Linked DNA regions of Canis lupus familiaris. The protein of the gene in region 2 interacts with the protein of the main gene of each other region in a biochemical or structural test. Links are inferred from orthologs where the notes say so. Each region holds a gene or a part of one and is shown on either strand. Other genes may lie near its edges. The genes, in order: AXL, GAS6 and TYRO3.

Evidence for each region.
Region 1: the proteins of GAS6 (region 2) and AXL form a complex in vitro, tested with the Homo sapiens proteins (2 studies listed by BioGRID and IntAct, with this or other methods). The link is inferred for Canis lupus familiaris from reciprocal best matches to the Homo sapiens genes GAS6 and AXL.
Region 3: the proteins of GAS6 (region 2) and TYRO3 form a complex in vitro, tested with the Homo sapiens proteins (2 studies listed by BioGRID). The link is inferred for Canis lupus familiaris from reciprocal best matches to the Homo sapiens genes GAS6 and TYRO3.

Annotation. Positions count from the first base shown.
Region 1 is NC_049222.1:113,493,691-113,498,538, reverse strand, and holds part of AXL (tyrosine-protein kinase receptor UFO), read left to right. Parts: coding exon 1-49; intron 50-700; coding exon 701-851; intron 852-1,053; coding exon 1,054-1,080; intron 1,081-2,370; coding exon 2,371-2,503; intron 2,504-2,800; coding exon 2,801-2,892; intron 2,893-4,848. UniProt on the Homo sapiens protein: Receptor tyrosine kinase that transduces signals from the extracellular matrix into the cytoplasm by binding growth factor GAS6 and which is thus regulating many physiological processes including cell survival, cell proliferation, migration and differentiation.
Region 2 is NC_049243.1:61,139,865-61,144,712, reverse strand, and holds part of GAS6 (growth arrest-specific protein 6), read left to right. Parts: exon of another isoform or gene 1-12; intron 13-491; exon of another isoform or gene 492-639; intron 640-2,810; coding exon 2,811-2,933; intron 2,934-3,590; coding exon 3,591-3,712; intron 3,713-4,175; coding exon 4,176-4,294; intron 4,295-4,624; coding exon 4,625-4,814; intron 4,815-4,848. UniProt on the Homo sapiens protein: Ligand for tyrosine-protein kinase receptors AXL, TYRO3 and MER whose signaling is implicated in cell growth and survival, cell adhesion and cell migration.
Region 3 is NC_049251.1:8,875,344-8,880,761, forward strand, and holds the start of TYRO3 (tyrosine-protein kinase receptor TYRO3), read left to right. Parts: upstream 1-1,776; 5' UTR 1,777-1,791; coding exon 1,792-1,939; intron 1,940-3,702; coding exon 3,703-3,886; intron 3,887-4,115; coding exon 4,116-4,216; intron 4,217-4,976; coding exon 4,977-5,147; intron 5,148-5,418. UniProt on the Homo sapiens protein: Receptor tyrosine kinase that transduces signals from the extracellular matrix into the cytoplasm by binding to several ligands including TULP1 or GAS6. Regulates many physiological processes including cell survival, migration and differentiation.

The DNA.
Region 1 (4,848 bases), on a different chromosome or scaffold from region 2:
CACCCTGTTAGGGTACCGGCTGGCCTACCGAGGCCAGGACACCCCCGAGGTGGGTGCTGCTGGCTGGGCTGGGGCGGAATGGCTGGGTGGAGGGAGATGGGGAGGACAGGACACGAGTGCAGTTGGGGTAATATGAGACCACACTACACCTAGGAGGGCACATCCTGGGAAGGGGTCCAGGCAAGGGGTAGGGAATGGGAGTGGCTATTTACAAGTCCTTGTGAAAAACATTTCAGTAGACTTACAAATGTACTATCATGATTTTACAGCAGATAATTGTATAACATCTTGAAGAAGGGGTGACTTTTCCTAATTTGCACAAAGGTGGTCTTGGAGCAAGCAGCACCCTGGGTTGGAGAGGTGGGTGGGAGAGAGAGGGTGGGGGGTTAGGAGGGGATAAAGAGAGGAACCTGGGTGGAAAGATGAGGGTTCAGTCCCTCACTTGCTAGCACTTGACGACGGGCTGTGAATGAGGCAATGGCCCAGTCCCGGTGGAGCTGATGTTGGAGTGGGCATGGGGATGGAGAATGGAGGTGGGGGTGACAGTGGGGATGATGGGTCGGAAGAGGTAGGGGTGAAGGGCTAGGGGGTGGGGAGGGGGCTTTGAGAAAGATAGGGACTTAACGGTGAGGGTGAAGTCTTAAGAGTTAGGGGTGGCGGGGTGGGGGCTTTACCTTGATGCTACATCTGGACGTCCTAGGTGCTCATGGACATAGGGCTAAAGAGAGAGGTGACCCTGGAGCTGCAAGGGGATGGGACGGTGCCCAACCTGACAGTGTGTGTGGCAGCCTACACTGCTGCTGGGGATGGACCCTGGAGCCTCCCTGTGCCCCTGGAGCCCTGGCGCCCAGGTAACTCCAAAGTCCTGCTCAGCCCCCTTCAACTGATTCACGAGGACCCTGTCTTGCCCAGATAGCCCTGACTTGCTCCCTGTACCTTTCAATGTTACCCCAATCTGGGCTCTTTTCCTACCCAAAACCTTCCTGAGAGTCTCACCGGTGTCACACCAGTCTTATCCTCTCTGAGTCCTCCCTCTGTCCTTTCTCCTCACAGGGCAAGGACAACCAATCCACCAGCTGGGTAAGGGCTTCACACCCTCTTGCCTCCCTCCTTTGCCTTCATGCCCAGTGAGGACCCCATCACCACAAACATACCCATAGACATTTCTTTCATGTTTCTCAAACTCATCATTCTAATCTTCTACTTCTCGGGTTTGTGTGGTCCTTGATGTTGTCAGGAATGGCCCCCGTACATTGTAGGTACTCAATGAATGGTGGATGGATGGATGGATGGATGGATGGATGGATGGATGGATAGATAGATAGGTGGATGGATGGGTGGGCAGGCAGATGAGCTATCCCCCTCAAATCCATCCCTCTCAAATATTTCTCCAGCAATTCTCAAACACCCTTTGTACCCTCCTAGCACTATTATAGTTCATCTCTTGTAACTCAACCTACTATTCTTAAGGATTCCTTATGTGCCTTCCTGCATTTCTTTGCATACCCTTTCCACACTAATGCCAGCCTTCTGTCCCATTCATCCTATTATTGTCCTTCGTTCCTCACACATGCCTCCCAAACCCAGTGCACACCCACACTTCTCATTCACAGACTGCACACTTTTTACACACTCGCCGTATATCCCACATTGCAAATACTGGAAAATTTTGGATCCACACTATCCCACACTCTTCAATTCTTCCTGCACACAGGGAGTGATGCTCCTTACACATTACTCCCTCAACACTCGCCAATCCTAACCCGTTCCCACTCTGCACACACCCACACCAAACTCCTGGGACACTCAGCACGTACCTACCCATTTCCATCCCTTACATACCCATTCCCACCCTTTGACACCCCATTTCATCTCCTCCCATGCCCACACTCCTCTCACACCAACGTTACATCCTTACCAAAAAGTTGCTCATGAGGTGTATCTAAAATGCCTTAACTACTCCTCACTCACATACCTCTAACTCCTCCAATACCCATCTGACATTCTGTGCACCCTTCTTTTGCACATGTATTTCACTTCTATCCCTCGCTTAATAGAAGCCCCTCCATCATCAGTGCATGTTCCTCAAGACCATTCCTTGGTCGTTTGTCCATGAGCCTCATACTCCTTGTATACTCCTCGCATGCGCTCCACACACCCATCCTACACTCCACACATCCCCTCCCCTGCTCACACAACTTGTGTGTTTTCCACACCCAAGTCCATCTCCCTGGATAAGTAGATGCACCTACCTACTACATGCCTCATTAGATATTTCCACATCTGTCTCCCTCCAACATCATATCTTTGGGTCCTGGGGAGCAGGATCCAGGGCTTCATCCATGACCTGTGTGCCATACCCCCTGACAGTGAGTGAGCCCCCAGCCCCTGCCTTCTCATGGCCCTGGTGGTATGTATTGCTGGGAGCAGTCGTGGCTGCCGGTTGTGTCCTCATCTTGGCCCTGTTCCTTGTCCACCGGCGGAAGAAGGAGACCCGCTATGGGTGAGTTGGAACTACGTGAGTAGGGAGGCTAACTTGGACTGGGATGGAGAGGCTGGAGTCAGGGAGACCATGAGGAGGCTGGTGCGAGATGAGAGATTACCAAGAGTCAGAATGAGGTCAAGGGTCTGGGTAATAAATGGAAGGCAGAAGGTAGAAGTCCAAGTCATACTCAGCAAATGCTGGAGGAGAGGGCGGGCAGGGCTTGGGGTTAAGGGTGGTGTTCGCTTTCACTGTTGTCCGAGAAAGGGGGTTCCACCTGGTCCTGCCCTGCCCTCACCTCCTGCCTATTCCCCCCAGAGAGGTGTTTGAACCAACAGTGGAGAGGGGTGAGCTGGTGGTTAGGTACCGTGTTCGCAAGTCCTACAGTCGCCGGACCACTGAAGCCACCTGTAAGTGAACCTCATACCTCCCTGCCCTGGTGTGGGGATGACAAGTGTAGAGATTGGGGTCTGCCGGGCTTCTTTCGATGCATGAACCCAGAGTTTCCAAAGACCCCGGAATACTAGGATGTGAGAACCATAGACTAAGAACAACAGAATTGTGAAACCACACAGATCCTTAAAATAACAGGGTCCTAGACAATAAGTTATAGAAAGACCAAACTTTAGGGCCACAGGATCCTAGAACAGTATAATGATGATGACGATAATGATGATGATGATGGCAATGAAGAGGACAAGGATGGTTAGATAATTGTAAAGCCAATAATGACAGCCAGCCCTAGCACTTCCTATGTGACAGGTGCTGTTCTAAGTGTCCCACACGTCATTTAATTGAATTCTCACGACAACCCAATGAAGTAGGTAAGTCACTCTCCACTTTCACAGATGGGGAAGCTGGGTACAGAGTGGTTAGTAACTTCCTCAAGGCCACACAGCTTTTAAGTTAGACAGCTGGGCTTTGAACCCTGGTCATTTTGCTCTGAAGTTCATCCTCTTAACTACCTCTTGGAATTCTAGAATGTTAGAGAGTGGAATGGATTTTGGCCGAAACAATCATAGGCTCAATATCATAGACCCTTAAGATCTGGAAAACCATATGCTCTAAGAGCTCTAGACTCTCTGTAGACTGTGGAATTTTGAAGGGTCCCAGCTAAGGAAGGACCTCAGAGTGCACCTTGTCTAATCTCTTCATCTTTCCAGCTGGGAGAAACTTAAATCCAGAAAGGAAAGAGACAGAGTGATGTCTCTTCCCAGGACACAGTGAGAAGGCTGCCGGGGCCCCAGGGAGATATTGGAAGGGGCTGGGAAAGACATTTATTTAGGAGAAGCAAGAATAAGAAGCAAGGAGGTCATGGCGCTCTAGTGGGGTGACATGCAGCAGCAGTTCTCAGAGTGTGATCCAGGTCCCTGAGGGTCCCTGAGACCTTTGCAGGGGGTCCATGAGGTCAAAACTATTTTCATAATAATTCCAAGATGTTATATGCCCTTTAACACTCTCGTTCTCTCACATGTGTTCCGTGGAGTTTTTTTTAGAAGTTCTCTGATGTGTGATGGTTGACACTCTATTGGTTGACAAATGTGTGTTGGTTTATTCTTGTGTTTGAAAAATCTATCCATTTTAATTTTGAATACAGTAAGTATTGATCCATATAATCCCAGTGAATGAAAGCTCTATGTAGTCCTCAGTAATTTTTATTTATTTATTTATTTATTTATTTATTTATTTATTTATTTATTTATTTATGAGACACAGAGAGAAAGAGAGAGAGAGAGAGGCAGAGACACAGGCAGAGGAAGAAGCAGGCTCCATGCAGGGAGCCCGACGCGGGACTCGATCCTGGGTCTCCAGGATCACGTCCAGGGCGGAAGGCGGTGATAAACCGCTGAGCCACCCGGGCTGCCCAGTCCTCAGTAATTTTAAGAATGAGAACAGGTCCTGAGGCCAATAAGTTTGAGAACTGTTGCCATATAGCAATGAAAATAAATTGCAATTACACACAACTAACTACATGACAGCTGTCTCATAGACACTGTGTTGAATGAAAGAAGCCAGACATGAAAGAAAACATAGTACGTGATTCCATGTTTATGATTATATTCCCAAACAGAAATGGCCAATCTATGAGAAGAGAAGTCAGGAAGGTGGCCACTCTTAAGAGGGCAGGTCATGGTCTGTTCTTGACTTGGGTGCTAGTTATATTATTGTGTTTGCTTTGTAGAAATCCACTGAGCTGGGGTGCCTGGGTGGCTTTGTCACTTGAGCATCCAGCTCTTGGTTTCAGCTCAGACCATGATCTCATGGTTCATGAGATGGAGCCCCATGTGGGCCTCCCCACTCAGCTGGGAGTCTGCTTAAAGATTCTCTCCCTCTGCCCCTCCCTGCTTCACTCGTGTGCATTCTCT
Region 2 (4,848 bases):
CAGGCTCTGGGGGGCGGGACAGGTGGGGGGGGCATCCAGCTGAGCACATGCCCGGGCATGTCAGCAGCCATGGGGAGCTGCCCTGGCCCCAGCGCAGGATGATTCACTGGGATCTGTGCATGGCCAGCCTGGCTGAGACCTCCCCCGCCCCAGGATGCAGCTGCCGGCATCTGGTTTATCTGTCCAGGAGCCCAGGACGGAGCCCAGATGCTGGGGCCAGAGCACACAGGCTCCCTCTCACCCAGGGGTGGCACCTGTCTACACCCACCCAGCTGGCTTCCCCCCTCACCCACTTCCCTCTGGCAGAGGCGGGCTGGCCACTGAGCAAAGCAGAAGGCAGCCGCCCTCCTTAGTCTGGGGCCCCTGGGGTCCAGTGCCCTGACCACCCCAGAAAGTCTGCACACTGTGGCTGGCCGGGCTGCAAAAGGGGTCCCCGACTTTACAGGGGGGCTGTCTCTTCCTCCCTCCGCCCCCTGCCCTCCAATACAGACCTGCTGACACCTGCCACTGGCGTGTCCCTGAGAATCCGGGCAGTTCTCTCGTACTACGGGCCTGCCCGGGGCAGAACAGATCTACTGAGGGAGAAGCGGCCTCAGGAGCAAGGCTTGCGCAACAGCCGGTGACAGGGTGAACTCTGAGTCAGACAGGACAGGGGGCCCTTCCCACTTTTGGGAAAACAGCTTCCACTTTTGTCATCATTCATGGCTCCTTCCCACCTGCTGCCTCAACCTGACAACAGCTGTCCTCTCCTCGAGCTGCGGCTGGCACCCAGGCCAGACGTGCACGGCCACGGCCCCAGGGACTTCCGGCCTGCGGGCTATGTCTGGGGCCATGTCTGCATGTGATGCACCCACAGCTGCTGGGAGTTCCCGGAGCCATGGTGTTTGCACGCCCCTGGGCGATGTGCTGTGTGCCGCGGGCACCTCCTGCTTTTGCCTCCTCGGGAGACCCTGAGTGACGAGGGTCTACTTAGCGCTCATTCACCAGGTCTGTGATGTGTGGGAGCTGACAGATCCCCTGCACCTTGGTGCTTGGTGCCTTCCCCCAGAACAAAGGTGTTCTCCTTAGCGTGATGGATTAACAGCAAGCATGGCAGGTGCCCCACCTGCGCGGCCAGGGTTCCTTGTGCTGACACCAGCTGACAGACACCTCCCCTTCTCTTGGCCATCGCCTGTTTCCTTGGGGACCTTGGGACCCCAGACCCAGCCAAGGGAAGCTGTGGGAATGAGGGGCCTTGCCAGTGTGGTGTGGAAGGGCCCAGACTTTCCATCTTGTCTTCCTTGATCAGACTCTGAGATGCTGGGAAGGAGGGGCTGCGGTCGCTCCACTTCTACAGCCCCCCAGCACCCTGGGAATGGGGGCTCTGGCCTTTCTGTCATTGCTCCTTGACTGCAGAGAGGGATCTCCAAGCCTCGCAGGTGGGGCCCTGTCCTAGGAGGAGAAGCAGATGAGGGCCTGGGCGGGGGGCAGAGGCAGGGCCTGTTTGGGGGCCTCGGGCCTCTTGGCCTTGGTGCACAGTGTAGGGTTGTGTCTAGGCTTGTGCCCCATGCCTGGTGCCAGCCCCACACACTGCCTGCCTCCGTTTTCCTGGTCACCGTGCTCTGATGAATGGTCGGACCGCAGCATCTCCAAAGGGCCACGTTTTGGCAGGATGCAGCGTGGAGGTGCTGAGAGGCTGGAGTCAGAGCGGTCCTCTGATAGAGCTCGGCCCTATGCATCACAGGGGTGCTCTCTCCCGTGGGAGGAGAAAGCTGGGTGTCATGGAGCCAGATGGGCACGTGAGGAGGGGCTGGCCTGGGAAGTGCAGTGTGCCAGAACCGCGGAGAACCCTTCCCCCATGCCACTGCCACTGTGGGCCATTCCCTGGTGGGTCTGGGCCCTCCAGCCACCAGCCCCTCCACCGTCACAAGCCCTGCAGGGGCCGTGGCAGCTCCTTACGGGTGGTGTTCAGAGAGCCTGTGCTTACGAGGCATCCTTCTTGGGGTGGCCCGTGTCCTGCAGCCAAGCTGTATGCATAGCACCCACAGCCTCCCCGGGGCAGTCAGGACTGTGGAGCCGGGTTCCTATGCTCCTGGACATGGTTGGCCTGGCTCTTGGACTGAAATTCAGGTTCAGAAGCATCCACACTGAGTCAGTGGACAGAGGGAACCCGCAGCCTTACGCCTGTGTCTCAGGGCCGCGTGCTGTTGCCAGAGCGCCTTCCTACGCTCACTGAGCCACGTTTGAGAGCCTATTTGCTGGCAGGCTGCCCTTGTGATGAGCTCCACCTGAGGCCCCGCAACACGGGTGTCCCGCTGCCGTCTGAGGGATCCATGTCGTCTGGACTAATAATTGCCTGTCCCAGATATTCGTTCTGCCCCTGGAGGAAACAGGATTAAGTGCAGAGGTTTTTGTATTTGTTCTTTGCCAAAGTAGCAGATGGATGAGCCTCAGGATGAGCCTCAACAATTCACCACTAGTGAGCTTGGTTTCCAACGGAGAGATGGGGTGTGTGGCTGGAGGTCATCCCTCAGGAGGTGAATGGAGCCTGGGAGCCTCCACTGGAAGTCCCCATCCTGGGCTCCAGTGCTTGGCCCTGGACGAGCTCAGCCGCATCCAGCAGTCTGAGATCAACCTCCTCAGCCGGGACCCCAGGCAGAAACATCCACCACGCCCGCCGTGCCTGAGCCTGGGGCTGCAGAGTCCAGTGGACGGGAGGAGGGCTTAGTCACCCTGGGAGCTGAGGCCACCCAAGGCTGTGGCTCACGCTGCAGCACCTCCCCTACCGACCAGGAGACAACCCTGGTCAAGGGCCCTGGCTTCTCTTGCAGACGTGGATGAGTGTGCAAATGGAGCTGCCTGCGGGGAGGCGCGCTGCCAGAACCTGCCTGGCTCCTACTCCTGCCTCTGTGATGAGGGCTACGCATTCAGCTCCCAGGAGAAGGCCTGCCGAGGTACCCCTCCACAGCTGCCCGCAGGCCCCGGCACAAACACCTGTGAACACATGTGTGCACACATGCAGCGCCCCACACATGACCACACATTTGCACACACATCACACATGTGTGCATGCCATGCACACATACATCCACAGGTACCTCTTAAAGCAACTAGGTGCCTTCTCCAAACTGCTGCAGACACAGAATTTAGGAGGAACGAGCTCTCAGGCCACACTGCTGTGTTTGGGGACAACTGACGAGCACTCGCTGTGTCCAGGGCATCTTCCTCCCCTTCCTTCCAAGAGGAAGGTGGGGTGGTCCCAGCCTCTGTCTCCCCTGCAGGGTGTCCCTGGGGCCCCTTTAGACCCTCAGGCCAAGCACCTCGTAGATGTGGTTTATGCGCTGAGCTGGTACCGTGCTCCAACCCTCCTTCAGCCTCTACACTAGCTGCTTCCCTTGAGAAACTGCAGAGGGTGTGCAGACATTGGAGACTGCTGACCAGCACAGCTCATGGCCAGGGAGCCAGGGGGGCGTGGGGTGGGCTGGGGAGTGGGTGCCTCCTGAGGCTCGTGCTCTGGAGCTTGTTTTCACAGCAAGCCAACCGCGTGCACGATCAGAGAAGGCATGGGCACTGCACCTGGTGAGGTTTGCCCATCTTCCCTGTGGTGGCAGATGTGGACGAGTGTGCGGAGGGACGCTGTGAGCAGGCCTGCGTCAACTCCCCAGGGGGATACAGCTGCCACTGTGATGGACGTGGAGGCCTCAAGCTGTCCCCAGACATGAACACCTGTGAGGTAAGTGCCCTCGGGGCAGCCGTCCTTCAGGAAGACAGTGCTGGAAGAGGTGTTTTTATGGGAAGGCCCAGTGTCCCCTGGCCGGTGGCAATGTAGGATGGAGGCATGTCTGTCCTGGGCATGAATTCCCTAGGCCTGGTGGCTCCCTACCCCCAACGACCTGGGGGCTACACCCAGAGTACACTCTGCCCTCCCTGTCTGCCCGCTCAGGCTCTGCCACACGTGTGCAGTCGGAGCCTCCTGCTTTTGGCCAGCCTGCCCACCTCTTGGACTCGTACCTGCTGGTCTCTCCGGGCCGTGGCGGTCTGAGTGTAACAGAGTCTCTGGTGTCTGTGTGCCACCTGCTGTGCATCTGGCTGGCGGAGTGGCGGGGGAGGGCCCGATTGCATCCTGACAGGCAGTGTGATGGGGAGGGGCTGAACCAGGTATGCCCCTCCTGACACCCCTTGCTCCCACTCCACAGGATATTTTGCCCTGCGTGCCTTTCAATGTGGCCAAAAGCATGAAGTCCTTGTACCTGGGTCGCATGTTCAGCGGGACACCCGTGATCAGACTGCGCTTCAAAAGGCTGCAGCCCACCAGGTGAGAGGCGGCGGCTCACACAATACAGAGCAGAGTGGACCAGAGCCCGAGGAATGGCTGGCCTGATGCTCCCTGGGCCCACAGACCCCTGGGCCATGCCCCAGGCTGCACCCCAGCGGTCTAGGCAGTCAGCCCGTTCCCTGCCCAGCCACAGCAGCACGGCTCCAACTCTGGGCCTCTGGGCGCCCACCAGTGCTTCTGGCATTCAGGGAAGAATCCCAGGCTGCCTGCACACGGCTGCTCTCTCCCTGCTGGTCTGGGTCCCTGGGGCAGGAGGCCGTGAGCCGCCAGCCCATGCATCACCTGTTTCTTTTTCGTGCTGGCCCTCAGGCTGGTCACCGAATTCGACTTCAGGACCTATGACCCTGAAGGCGTCCTCTTCTTTGCTGGAGGCCATCAGGACAGTACCTGGATCGTGCTGGGCCTGCGGGCTGGCCGGCTGGAACTGCAGCTCCGCTACCATGGTGTCGGCCGTGTCACCAGCAGTGGGCCTGTCATCAACCACGGCACATGGCAGACGGTGAGTGTGGCCACCACTCCAGCCCCAGGCCGGC
Region 3 (5,418 bases), on a different chromosome or scaffold from region 2:
GTGTGGGAGAGGGCCTCCAGGAGTGCAGAGCTGCAGCAGCCATGCTGCCGCAGTAGCGCTGCCCTGGCGAACCTGGCTTCAGCCCCAGATTGTTGTCTGCCTGCCCCGATCCGACTCAGCCCAAACTCAGAAGCTGTGGCTTCCGGAACAGAGCAAATCTTTTCCTTTAAAAAAGGGTCCTATAGCCCACCCACAGTACCCAAGAAAACTGGCAGAGCGCCCAGCTAAGCAGAGACCTCAGGTCCCTGCCTTCCAAGTCTGTCCTTTTGGAGTCTCTCCCTGTGTTGCCACCTGAGGGCGCCCGGAGCTGGGTCTGAGGGTGCCACCAGCACTGCTGTTGTTGTTATCATTAGTATAATTAATAAGCAAGCACTGATGGGGCCAAGTGGAGGAAGAGGCAGGCCCCTGCTGCTCGGGAGAATCCCTGGAAAGATCCAGTGAGGCTTCAGGAAACAGGGGGCTGAGTAGCCTGTTCCTCTTCCCTATGCAGGACTTCTAGGAAGGGCCCTCTGGAGTGGGCTCCAGGGGACAGGTAGCAGCAGAGGCCCAGGGAGAAAGCTTGGTAGGCTGCGTTTGGAACCAGCTCTGCATCTGCCTGACAGGATGTCTTTGGGCACAGCCACCCTCATGATTACTGGTTGTGGGGCAGGCCAAGCTCTGAGGCAATTATTCATTAATTTAACAGGCATCTGTCTGTTTATTTATGGAATGCCTACTGTGTGCAAGGTGGTCCACTAATAATAGCTAAATGTTTTATTGGATACTGTGAGGACACAGCCAACTTTCACACCATGTCCTAGGGGATAGGGGCAGGGAGGGTAGAAGCAGAGGAAGCAGCTAGTAAGAATGACAGCCCCAAAAGACATGGGCAATGGGGCTTTGGCCTATCAGTGGGGATGTCAGATATAAAACCTGAGGACTAGCAAAAAGATCTTGGAACCCACCCCCCCACCCCCCGCCAAGATCCTGGAGATCTTGGGTGGGAAATGGAGCAGGAATATGGGAAATTTCGGGGAAAGGCTCAAGAAAGAGGCAGGAAGGGGTGTTAGTAGGTCCTGTGTGGGGAGCCTTGAGTCACGATTTCGGGGGCCCTGATTGGTGGGGAATTTAGGGGATTGAGATGCTTTCTGTCCTGAGACGGGGGACGGGATTGTGGCATCACACGCTGGACGAAAGTTGGGGTGCGGTAGAGGCTCCAGCGAGGTTGGACGGCAGGACCCGGAGTGCTGGGTTTGAAAGGATGCTGGAGTGTGTTTAGGGGATGGAGGGGCGTGGCTGGGTGCGCCCCGGGCCCCGGCCGATCCTCGGGCCCGGAGGAAGCCCGCCGGGGGTGCCGCGGCGCCGGGGGGGGGGGAGGGGGGAGGCCCGCGGGCGGGGGCCGGCGGGGCCCGCGGCGGGGTAGGCGCTCGGAGCGCGCGGCCCGAGGCTCCGCGGGGGGGCGGTACGAGCTCAGGCTTGCGGGCGGGCGGGCTGGGGAGGAGGCGGCGGCTCCGAGAACATGAATCAGCGGCGGCGGCGACGGCGGCGACGGCTGTGGAAGGAGCGCGGTGGCCCAGCGGCGGCCCCGGGGACCGCGCGCTGTTGACGGCCGCCGCCGCGACTCGCAGCGGGCGCGGGTCTCGGAGGCGCGGGCCCCAGCACCGCCCCCGGCCGGCCCCCGCCCCTCCCGCGGCCCTCCTCCTCCGGCCCTCCTCCTCCTCCTCCGGCCCTCCCCCTCCCCCTCCCCCTCCCCCTCCTCCCTCCTCCCTCTCGCTCGCGGGCCGGGCCCGGCATGGTGCGGCGTCGCCGCCGATGGCGCTGAGGCGGAGCATGGGGCGGCCCGGGCTCCCGCCGCTGCCGCTGCCGCTGCCGCTGCTGCCGCCGCCGCCGCCGCCGCCGCCGCCGCTGCTGCTGCTGGCGGGTCTGGCAGCTGTGCTGCTCGCGGAGCCCGCGGCCGCAGGTAGGGGTTGGTCGGGAGGCGGCGGAACCCGGGGGCTGCGGAGGGGCGCGGCCGGGTGGGCGCCCAGGGACCGCAGCGGAGCGAGCCCCGGGCCCGGGCGGCCCGGAGACTTGGGTGGGGGGACCCACGCTGCAAGGCCGAGGCTGGGGGCGGGGGGCGGGGGGCGGGGGCGCCGCGCCGTGTCCGCTGCGGGTCCCCCGGCAGGGGCCCCACCCCCAACTTTCTCGCGTCCGGGGCTCTTCTGGCGGGGTGGAAGGCAAAGGAGTGGGGCCGTGGGCTGAGTGGTCAGAGGGGGCTGTTCCGAACTGGATTTTCCCGCCTCGACGTATCTAGTTGTTTGCTCTCCCCTCGCAGTCCTGGGGACCCCATTCAGCCCGCCCTACACATGAAAGTCCCGCTCGGAAACCACAGGGGCTGGACTGAGCCCCAAGAGGCATACCTACACCATTTAGGTACAAGGGCTGTGAGGGTGCCCAGGCACAGAAAACATCTGGACAGACTCTAGTTCCTGTACCCACTCAGAGCTTCCTGAAACGGAGGACGTTGGAGAGGATGGGTTGGAGCGAGGTTGCTGGTCTTTGTGGGGGTCAGCCTTGTGTTCCCACATGGCCCCTGAGGCATTTGCCCATTGTAGGAGTGCTCCTCGCAGCACCCTGCATCTCAAGTTCACACTACAACCCTCTGGGACTGTTGGGTGTGTATGGGGTGTGAGGTTATCCCTCTGTGCCCTGTGACACAGGCTAAAAGCAGCAGCCACAGAGCTGGCACCTTGTTTTGAGACTGTACTCCCTGCCATATGAGATTCTTAGGGAAGGAAAAGAGTGACAAGTATTTACAAGCTGAAAAGTGTGTATCTCAGGATCAGAGAGAGCCCAGGAATTCGCCTAGAGTCACACAGCAAAGGGCAGGGAGAAGCAGGACTGGATTCAACTATTTGGATAGTTCACCTGCCCCTCTGCTTAAAAACATGCCAGGAGACTAGGAGGTGTGTGTGTGTGTGTGTGTGTGTGTGTGTGTGTGTGTGTCCATGCAGAGGATAGTGTTCTGCAAGGTGGCTCCTGCTGGTGTGACAGTAGCTCAGGGGTCTTGGGCTTCTGTTCAGGGCCCCTCTGCTCTCTTCTACCTCCTACCTCCCTAGCACCCGCCCCTGCACACATTCAGGTATTAATAGAGCGGGTGGCTGCCAGGAAGGCTGCCATGTGTTTGATCTGACGTGGTTCTGCAGCCATATGTTCTCCACTTCAGGGGAGCACCCCCTCCTTCTCTTCCTCAGCCTTGTTTAATTTGCCAGGGTGGGGTGCAAGGGGGTGCCAGCAGCAGCTTGAAGTCTGGCCGGACACCTAGAGAGGCAGGGAGCTGGCCGCCTGTTGCACTCCATGGGTGCAGCAGTCATTCTCAAGGCAGTACCTGCCCCAGGTGGATGAGAGGGCCCCATCTTTTTAGCTTGGCCTGCCTTCCTTTTGATGGTTGGGCTTGAACTTCACATCACCCAGTCGGGAGGCATGGGGAAGAGGGCACTTTCATAGAGCTGGGGGAAGCTTGGCAGTGGCAGAAATGGTGCCTGGATAGCTTGTCTTTTTTCGTCCCCCAGCCAAGGCCCCGGCCACCTTCTCTCCCTCCCACGTCCAACCTCTGCTTTCTTGACCATTAGTTGAGAATAAGCTCTGCGAACCAGACACTAGGTTCTGGAAGAGGAGGGGAGATATTTCCAGAGGCAGGGTCCCTGTCAAGCAGGCTGACACCTTCTCCTTCCCACCTCTCAGGCCTGAAGCTCATGGGAGCCCCAGTGAAGCTGACTGTGTCTCAGGGGCAGCCGGTGAAGCTCAACTGCAGTGTGGAGGGAATGGAGGAGCCTGAGATACAGTGGGTGAAGGACGGGGCTGTGGTCCAGAGTGTGGATCAGGTGTACATCCCAGTCAGTGAGCAGCACTGGATTGGCTTCCTCAGGTGCAGGGCCAGGGGGGAGGGTGTGGCATGCCAGCCTGGGGACACGTTGTGCTTTCTCCTTGGGGCTTGGGAGCTGGGGGCAATGCCGATGCCCAGAAGTCTGGGGTTTTTTATTTGGCAACCTATGGAAACTTCCAGAAGCGGGGGTAGGCTGAACCCACTGAGTCGGCCCAGCACAGCGCGCCCCCTGCCAACTCTGGGAGGCGAGCCTGGTATCCTGTTTCTACAGCCTGAAGTCAGTGGAGCGCTCTGATGCAGGCCGGTACTGGTGCCAGGTGGAGGATGGGGGTGAAACGGAGACCTCCCAACCAGTATGGCTCACAGTAGAAGGTGAGGAAGCAGAGATACAGGTGGGCATGTTGGCCTGGAGCAGGTGCTGTCTGCTAGTGACCACACCTCTGCAGAAGAAAAAGCTCAGTGGAAGCTGGGCTGCCCCATTGCCCTCTGGGCCCTGATTGCACCAGGCTCCAGGCCTACCCCAGACATCAGGAGACCTTACTCATTGGAGTCTGGGTATTTCACAGCCAAGGGGACAATAAGAACCCAGAACCCATGGTGCAGTCCATTCCAGTTGTTTGATCAGCAAACCTCAAGCACCCATCTGGGGCTGGACCCAGTCCTGCCAAGTGGCCAGGCCAGGAGGGGGAGGGATGGGGGAGGGGAGGAAGGCTCCGCAGCTGCGGGAGCTCAGAGCTGTTCAACCCAGGAAAACAAAGTGACTAAGAAAGTAACAAAGGGGCCTGAACGGGGATCTGGGGCTTGCCAGCAGAACTCTGCTAAAGCTTCCGCCCACTCCCCCTCCCTTTGTGACCCTCCCCCCAGCTCCCTACCCTCCCTCCTCCCCTGCTCTGAGAAGGGCTGTCTCGGAAGAGAGAATCTACTATGCCCAAGGGGACAGCATAAAGGATATTCCTAAGGTGCCCAAAGAAGAGAAGCTTCCCCCTCAAGCTAGATGCCTGTTCTGCAGTTGACTCAATCATAAGGGCTTTAGGACCTCTGCACGGAGGGCTGCAAATGGTAGCAAACTTGTGGTTTGGGTAGTTGGAAACAGAGGTGGCAAGGCTCATTCCCCACCTCCCTTTCTTCCCAGGTGTGCCATTTTTCACTGTGGAGCCAAAAGATCTGGCAGTGCCACCCAATGCCCCTTTCCAACTGTCTTGTGAGGCCGTGGGTCCCCCTGAACCTGTTACCATTGTGTGGTGGAGAGGAGGCACAAAGGTTGGGGGACCCGCTCCCTCTCCTTCTGTTTTAAATGTAACAGGTGAGGAGCCTCAGGAGGGGGCTTTGAGTAGGGGTGGTGAGGCTGGCAGAGTGCAAATCTATGCACATTGCCCAAGGATGCTATTGGTGGTGGCCAGAGCACACCCCTGTGCCTGGCTAGGTGAGCTGCACCATTACTAAGCTCATTAGTCAGGTGTACCAGGCTGTCCAGGTGGACTGATTCGTAGTGATCCTGCTGGGTGTGCTTGAGGCCTCCAGAGCCTCCTTCCATCCTTCACAGTAGTCCAGGCCTCGTGCACAGCTGGCCCTGG